Oryctolagus cuniculus: one gene and its partner. The protein of the gene in region 1 purifies or fractionates together with the protein of each later gene. This does not show direct contact. Links are inferred from orthologs where the notes say so. Each region holds a gene or a part of one and is shown on either strand. Other genes may lie near its edges.

Region 1 (3,811 bases):
CGCCGGTAGTCTCCAGATGACCTCAATGGCTCAGACTGGGCCAGACTGAAGCCAGGAGGCTGGAACTTCATTTGCAATTCCCATGTGTGTTGAGGGGCCCAAGTACCTGGGCTGTCTTCTGCTGCTTTTCCAGGCACATTAGCAGGGAGTTGGGTTGAAAGTGGAATAATCAGAACTCGAATCAGCACCCTTGTAAGATGCCAGCATTGCAAGCAATGGCTTAACCTGTTGTTCTGCACCACCCCTTGTCTGATTATTTCTTGAGTTTAAATACCACCAGGGGAATTACTGGGGCATGGGTCTGTGACCTTTGTCTTCTTAAGTGCCCTTGAGCTTTCTGGATCTCTGCAGGTGGCCATGAACATCCTCAACAGCGGGCGGTTCAGCATGGGCAGCACAGTGGCCGGGATGCTCAAGAGGTTGATTGGTAGGTAAGTGGGGGCCAGGGGCCCTCTGCTGCCCCACTGCAGCCTGGGAGACGGCCATCCCCTCCCTACTGTGCCCCCGGGGGATTGGTGTCTCCTCTGGGAAGCTTTGATGCCCAGCACCCCTTCCCCTTTGGGTGGCTGAGCTGGGCCACCTGGCTGGGTGGTCAGCACTGGTGGAGCATCTGATCCGTGGTTCAGAGCAAAGAAGGTCCTCCCCAGGGCTTGTATCTCAGCGTTCCTGTTTCTCCTGCACACAAAGGGCAGGGGCGAGGGAGGACGTCCTGGCAGGGGCAGGGAGGGGCTGCTGCTGTGACCCTCCCAGGTTCCCGTCCCAGAGGTGACTGGCCTGGGATCCTCCCCTGTCCCTCAGCTTGGATCTCCCTTTGTTCTTTGCTATCAGCACATGGAAAACCTACATTTTCGTTTGCCCATGAACTTAAAACAGCCCATCACCATTCTCATGGGATTGACTGCACGGAGCAGGTTGCTTAGGAACTGCGTGTTCCTTAGTGCACCGTACCTCTCGGTCAGGACAAGATGGACGCACACAGGCTTAGTCTGGGGTTTTCCTGCATGAGGCCTCTGCTTCCCCATCTGATAGACCCCTTAGTGTCCGAGTTGGGGCTTTCATGGTCAGCGTGTTCTCCAAAGGAGGCAGAACCTCTGAGGAATTCCCACAGCCCAGAAGCGTGCTGATGCAGGGACTCATGCTGAGACCTCTGGGAGACTGGATCACGCCTGTGGGAGCATTTGGCAGCAGCGGGGGGGGTTGCAGAGCTCAACTATATGCCTTCAAGCCCAGGCCCTCCTGCCGTGCACGTGAGTACCCGTGCCACGCCTGGGCCACTCCACCTCTGTGTGGCACTGTTGGCCCTAACTTTGTGCGAGGCATCCCTCACCTTCCATCTGGTTTCATCTTGGCAGCAACTCAGTAAGCCGGGCAGTGTTCAGGGAGATGAGCGTTTCGGCCGCCTCCTGCCTGCTGAGGATGGTGCAGGATTCTAACCCAGGTCCCTGACCACGGCCTACTGTAAGAGGGCTCTAGTTGTTGGGGTATTGGTCTCAGCAGACACCTGTCTCCCAGTTGCTGCCTGAGTGTCAGAAGGGTAATGGTGATAGCCTATGAGACCATGCTGGCCAACCAGAGATATTCTGGTTCTTTGTAACAACTCTGCTCTTCTGCAGAAATGACCGCTGAATATGCCTGCACGAGGAAGCAGTTCAACAAGAATCTCAGTGAATTCGGATTAATTCAGGTACTCATGCTCACGAGTGCTGTGCTTCTTGACTTCACTTTGTAGACACGCAAAGTGTGCTGTCTGCCCTCCCTGCACCTGTGACTCCCATGCGGGGCGTGCAAAGATGGCTGAATAAGGTTTGATGATGAGGTCCCTTCCTTTTATTTAAGCATGGGTGTAGTTCACTCTCCCCCACCCCTTCTTGCTCTGTGGTTGTTTTTTTTTTTTTGGAAAGAGTTATGGAGAGAGAGGGAGAGACAGAGAGAGAGGAGAGAGAGAGACCTTTCATCCAATGGTTCACTACCTGAATGGTCCTGGCTGAGCCAGGCTGAAGCTGAGAGCCTAGAACTCCATCTGGGTCTCCCATGTGGGTTCAGGTGCCCAAGCACTAGAGCCACTTTCTGCTGCATTTCCAAGTACATCAGTAAGGGGCTGCATATGAAATGGAGCAGCCAGGATATGACCCTGCTCGCATAAGGGACACTGACATTGTAGGTGGCGTCTTAACCCACACCACAGCGCCAGCCTGGGGCACGGCTCTCCTGAGCGGTGAGCCCTCTGACGTAAAGGCCTGCTCGGCTGATAGGCAGATTGGATCTCAGCTAAGCAGATGACTTGATGGGTGTGTGTGTGTGTGTTTAATCCTCCAGGAAAAGTTTGCACTGATGGCTCAGAAGGCCTACGTGATGGAAAGTATGTCCTACCTCACCGCGGGGATGCTGGACCAGCCCGGCTTCCCCGACTGCTCCATCGAGGCCGCCATGGTGAAGGTAATCCCGGCGTGAGAGCCCGGGAGCCGGTGCAGGAGGGACTCAGAAAGGCTCCGTCGCCTTGGCCTCCAACCGCGGGGCTGCCTCCTGCCTCCCTCCCGCCTCCCTCCTCTTGTCGGTTCACGGGCCAGCTCCCAGCGGGCTCGTGTTTACGACGCACCCCGGGGACCGCACCCCAGGGGTAGGCAGGCCCTGGGGTCGCGCAGGGGAGAAGCAGCAAAGCACAGGCCCGGCCGTGCGTCGGTTTGCAGGCAGCACGGTGCTCCCCAGGGCGGCGCGGGGCAGCTTTTCCAGAGGTCAGTGCTCAGCAGCAAGAGGAGACGTAGCCAGCCATTGCTGGGACGTCACAGCAGGGCGTGGGGCAGCGGGCTCGCTGGGAGGGACCATCTGTTCCCCCTACTTCCTGGTCCTGGGCTTCCTCGTGTGGGGTATTTGCAGTGGGAGATCCTGGGGCTTTCTGTTGGTGTTCGTAGGCAGGGCTCAGTGTCAGGTGGAATAAGTAAGATGGCTGCCCCACTTGGTTGCCCTGAATCATTCCCGCACTGGGCTCCGACTTGGGCTTGAGAGACTGGGTGGGAGACGCCCAGTGCAGGGCTCGCCCGGGCGGGGCAGGGCCTTCTCCCTGGAGGTCACACGGTTCCTGGCGCTCAGTGAGTCCCCTGTGGGTGAGTCTGTGTGTTGGTTGTGCCTCAGCCATCACCAGCGCCCACCCACGGAGGCTGTGCCTCTTCTGGGTGCCAAGCCTGGAGCTGAATCCGGCAGTGTCTCCTCCCCCAGTCGCTCGCGGTGTGGAGGGACAGAAACAGGGCCTGGCTGCCGGTGCGAGTGCAGAGGACGAGTCCCGGGTGGTGGGGCTGGTGCGGCTGGGCTTGCTGCACGAGGTGGAACCTTTCTTCAGTGGGAACTGAAAAACAGGAGCTGACGCAGGCATGGAGGCGGGCCCAGAGGTGTGGAAGGCCAGGGCAGGGATGGGCACCGCAGGCCGGTGGTGGGGTTGAGGAAGGCTGAGGACTTCCGGTCATGCAGCCAGTTCCTCCCTGGGTCAGTGTCATCCCAAAGCCCAGTCCGTCTCAGCCACCGCGCTGCTCCTGGTGCCTTGGCCGCTCTGCTGGGAAGGGATTGGGCCCCGGTGCCCCTGTGCTGACCTCTCCCTGGGTCCCTGCAGGTGTTCAGCTCAGAGGCCGCCTGGCAGTGCATCAGCGAGGCCCTGCAGATCCTCGGGGGTTCGGGTTACATGAAGGACTACCCGTACGAGCGCATGCTGCGGGACTCCCGCATCCTGCTCATCTTTGAGGTGAGTGCCCGGCTGTGGCCCGCTGTGGACCCCTGCCGATGCCCTCCCCTCCCCTCCTGACCCTCCCTGTCCTGGGGATGC
Region 2 (3,811 bases), on another chromosome or scaffold:
TGTGCCTAGCAAGGCTACAGATGACAGTCCAAATAGTTGGGTCCCTGCCACCCATGTGGGAGACTTGGATGCAGTTCTAGGCTTCTGGCTTTGGCTTGATCCAGCCAAAGTCATGGAGACATTTGAGGAGTGAGCTATCAAATGGAAGATCTCTTTCTTTCTGTGTCTTCCTTTCTCTCTGTCTTCTGCCTTTCAAATAAGTAAATAAATCCTAAAAAAAAAAAAAAAAAAAAAATTAAGAAGGAGCTGGCGCTGTGGAGCAGAGGGTTAAAGCCCTGGCCTGAAGCTCTGGCATCCCATTCTAGTCTCGGCTGCTCCTCTTCCAATCCAGCTCTCTGCTATAGCCTGGGAAAGCAGTACAAGATGGCCCAAGTCCTTGGGCCCCTGCACCCACATGGAAGACCTGGAAGAAACTCCTGGCTCCTGGCTTTGGATCGGCGGCAGCTCTGGCCGCTGTGGCCATCTGGGGAGTGAACCAGTGGATGGAATACCTCTCTCTCTGTCTCTACCTCTCTCTGTAGCTCCTTCAAATAAATAAAATAAATCTTTAAAAAATTAGGAAAGATATAAATTCTTTTTCCTAAACTTTAGTTAATACTAAATCCCCTTTCTGGAAAGCATGTTGTAAAGATTAAGTGAAAATAATATATTAACATATAGCAGGTGGTCAGTAAATATTAGTTCTTTTTTTCCTGCATATCTGTATCCTTTAATTCCTGCCCTTTAATTTAGCATTTACTTAGTAGTTGTTCTTTACTTTTTCCCTAATATTTCCTGCATGTAAAGAAAATGTCTGATACTGATTTTGCATCTGCCCATGGTGGTTGCCACAGATTCTTAGCAGATACTTAATTGACGAATTACATGGTTGACACTGATACTCCTTAGTTCCTTTTCCATCTCCTGATAGAGTAGCATGCACATTGGATTTTGCCTTAAGTGTCAGTATCTAAAGAATGATGTCCCTAGACTTTCCTCCACTGTAGGGTTTGTCTTTTTTTTTTTTTTTTTTTTTTTGAATTTATTTATTTGAAAAAGTTACAGAGAGGTAGAGCCAGAGACAGAGAGAGAGGTCTTCTATGTGCTGGTTCACTTCTCAAATGACCGCAATGGCCAGAGATGCACCGATCTGGAGCCAGGAGCTTCTTCTGGGTCTCCCACGTGGGTGCAGGGGCCCAGGGACTCAGGCCATCTTCTATTGCTTTCCCAGGCCATAACAGCTTGGAAGCGACATAGCCGGGACTCGAACCAACGCCCATATGGGATGCCAGCGCCGCAGGCCTCAGCTTTAACCCACTGTGCTACAGCGCCAGCCCCCTCCAATGTAGTTTTTGAAACAGGAAAGTAGTCAGGTTTCTTGGCATCTGACAGCTTTTCTTTGTTAACTTCAGCAAAGTGCTCACCGCGCTGCCACGCGAGGTTTCATACGGTACGGCTGGCGCTGGAGCTGGAGAACCGCGGTGTTCGTGACCATATTCAAGTAAGTTTTCCCTGGACTGTCAGGCGTCTTGGTGTTGTTAGGAAGTAGCAGCAGGCAGTATAAAAACTGGAAAGCCACATGATGCCTTTTTTTCAAGACTTTTGTCCATCTGTGTGCTCCAGGATGGTCTTGTGAAAACGACCCAGTCAGAATTTTGCCTCTGCGTTGCAGGTCTGCCAATTAGATCAAATAGATATAATATTTCTAAGAAAGAGAAAATCTGCAAACTCTTCTTTATGTTTCTGTTTCTAAGTGATTCTTTGTTCCTGAAATGCGATTGTTGTTTGGTTCATTCTTCAGCAGGAGAGCCACCTAGTGAGCCCAGAGCTGTACTGGCTGTCTGGAGCACATTGAAGGGGCCTAGACCTAGGACCTGTTAGAGCAGGAACCTCTAAAGCTATCATTTAGTGAAAATAGCAGTTGAGAAGGTAAATGGGCTATGCTTTAAATCTTATGTTTTCTTTTTCCCTCCTCCTTTTCAGCACAGTGAACACTAGTCTAAATGTGTACCGAAATAAAAATGCCCTAAGCCATTTTGTCATTGCAGGAGGTAAGACATCTTTGTTCTTGCTTACATTTTTCAGTCCCACATGTGGTTTAGAAAATATGTAAGGATTATAAATCGGAACTGCTGAATTCATTGATTGGCTTCCCTACCATTTCATTCAGTGTTCTTGAAAATATACTTAAGAAAAAGCATTACGCTTGGCCTTTGGTATACTTCTGAACAAAACTGAAAAGATCCTTGCTTTCATTGAATTTTAAACTCTAATGTGAATGGGAAAAAGCAGGTCTCTATGGTAGAATGTAACAGATAGGTGGGAAATGGGATCTGGCGTGGACAGGGGCTCAGAGAAGGCCTCTCTGAGGAAGTGAAGTGAGAAGGGGCAAGCTTTGCCAAGAAAAGTGGCCTCAGCAGGAGAAACCTCAAGGGGCAAGGCTCTAAGGCAAGAAATTTCCTCGAAGCAGGATAATCTGCTCAAATAGTAGGCAAGGAACCCTAGTTTGGGATGAGATTTATTAGGTGAGGTAGAAAAAAGCCAGATTTTTTTCATAGTAAGAGTTTGGATTTTCTTTTCTTTTTTTTTTTGTTCAAGAATCTAGAAATATATATGTTATTTAAAAACAATACAGCATCTTCTCACCAAAGTCTGGAGGCCAGAGAGACTACCAGTTTACAATCTACTTTATATTATTTGTCTATTCATATTCCAGTAGCAACCAAACCATTAAAATATTCAATTGCTAAATACTTTCTCCTACAAACTAGGCCCTTAAGATTTTAAAGCATAATGTAATTGTTATCTTTTATCTCCTTGCTACTAATTAAACTCCAGAGTAAATTTGTTTGGAATACTTCCTACACTATATGCTTCCATTTTAAATATTCTTTTATTCAGCCTGAACAAGACTAATACTGATCAGCAGTACAATTATCAGACCCAAAATTTCAGCTTAATGTTATAGGCCTGGAAAAAATATAAGCTCTTAAATCTTTTCTCTCCCTTTAAGTTTAAAAGAAAGTTATAGACAGTAGTTGACTTTGCATTTCTGTTATATCATACATTTCAACAATGTCTTAATCCAAAAAATAAAAAATTAAATAAATAGGTCATATAACAAGCTAAATCATACACATCTTGATTAAGAAACTAATACTAGAATATTATCCAAATAATAAAGTAGGCACACACTCAATTATCACATTCCCTATATATGAGAAGAGGCATTAAGCATTCAAGTTGAAATTTTATTTACAAACTTATCTAGTATGCTATGAGTTCAAGAGTCTGATCCATTTTTCAGAGACTGCACCTCTTGAAATGCTGTTATCTGTTAAATGGAGGACCTAAAACATGCTTATTTCTTAAGCAGTTAGTGTTGTACTATGAAGAAAGGTACAGTAAATCTAGATCCAAGATACAAAGTCATCATAGCTAGCAACCTCCACTTGTTTCCCACTGAAAATGGCAAATTCTTCCCTGGGCCCTCCTCACAGTGGCTCCTACGGACCTCAGAGGTTGTGAACCTCCAGATGCTGTGTTCCAACATGGTGCTACTGGAAGCTCTGTGGGAGGCACAGAGACCGAGGAAGGAAGAAATGGCGGCACCACACCAAGCCTCGCTCCTTTCACGACCTTGTTCCCCTGTGTGCAAGGGCCGAAACTGGGTTTTCGTTTCAAGTTCTCTGCCTGTAATAGATATATCTCTATTAAATGAACATAAAAATAAGAATATATGGTGAGGACAGGACCTAGAGCAGGGGATAGGGATTGGAAAGATTTTGGCCAAAGGGTACAAAATTTCAGCTAAACTGGTACAATATAGTGA

Evidence for each region.
Region 2: the proteins of ACAD9 (region 1) and TIMMDC1 purify together in Homo sapiens (affinity purification with mass spectrometry; 3 studies listed by BioGRID and IntAct, counting the BioPlex papers as one, with this or other methods). This does not show direct contact. The link is inferred for Oryctolagus cuniculus from reciprocal best matches to the Homo sapiens genes ACAD9 and TIMMDC1.

What each region holds. Positions count from the first base shown.
Region 1 is NC_091441.1:111,772,546-111,776,356, reverse strand, and holds part of ACAD9 (complex I assembly factor ACAD9, mitochondrial), read left to right. Parts: intron 1-351; coding exon 352-427; intron 428-1,613; coding exon 1,614-1,684; intron 1,685-2,316; coding exon 2,317-2,436; intron 2,437-3,601; coding exon 3,602-3,730; intron 3,731-3,811. UniProt on the Homo sapiens protein: As part of the MCIA complex, primarily participates in the assembly of the mitochondrial complex I and therefore plays a role in oxidative phosphorylation.
Region 2 is NC_091435.1:76,014,760-76,018,570, forward strand, and holds part of TIMMDC1 (complex I assembly factor TIMMDC1, mitochondrial), read left to right. Parts: intron 1-1,391; coding exon 1,392-1,480; intron 1,481-1,962; coding exon 1,963-2,030; intron 2,031-3,479; coding exon of another isoform or gene 3,480-3,700; exon of another isoform or gene 3,701-3,811.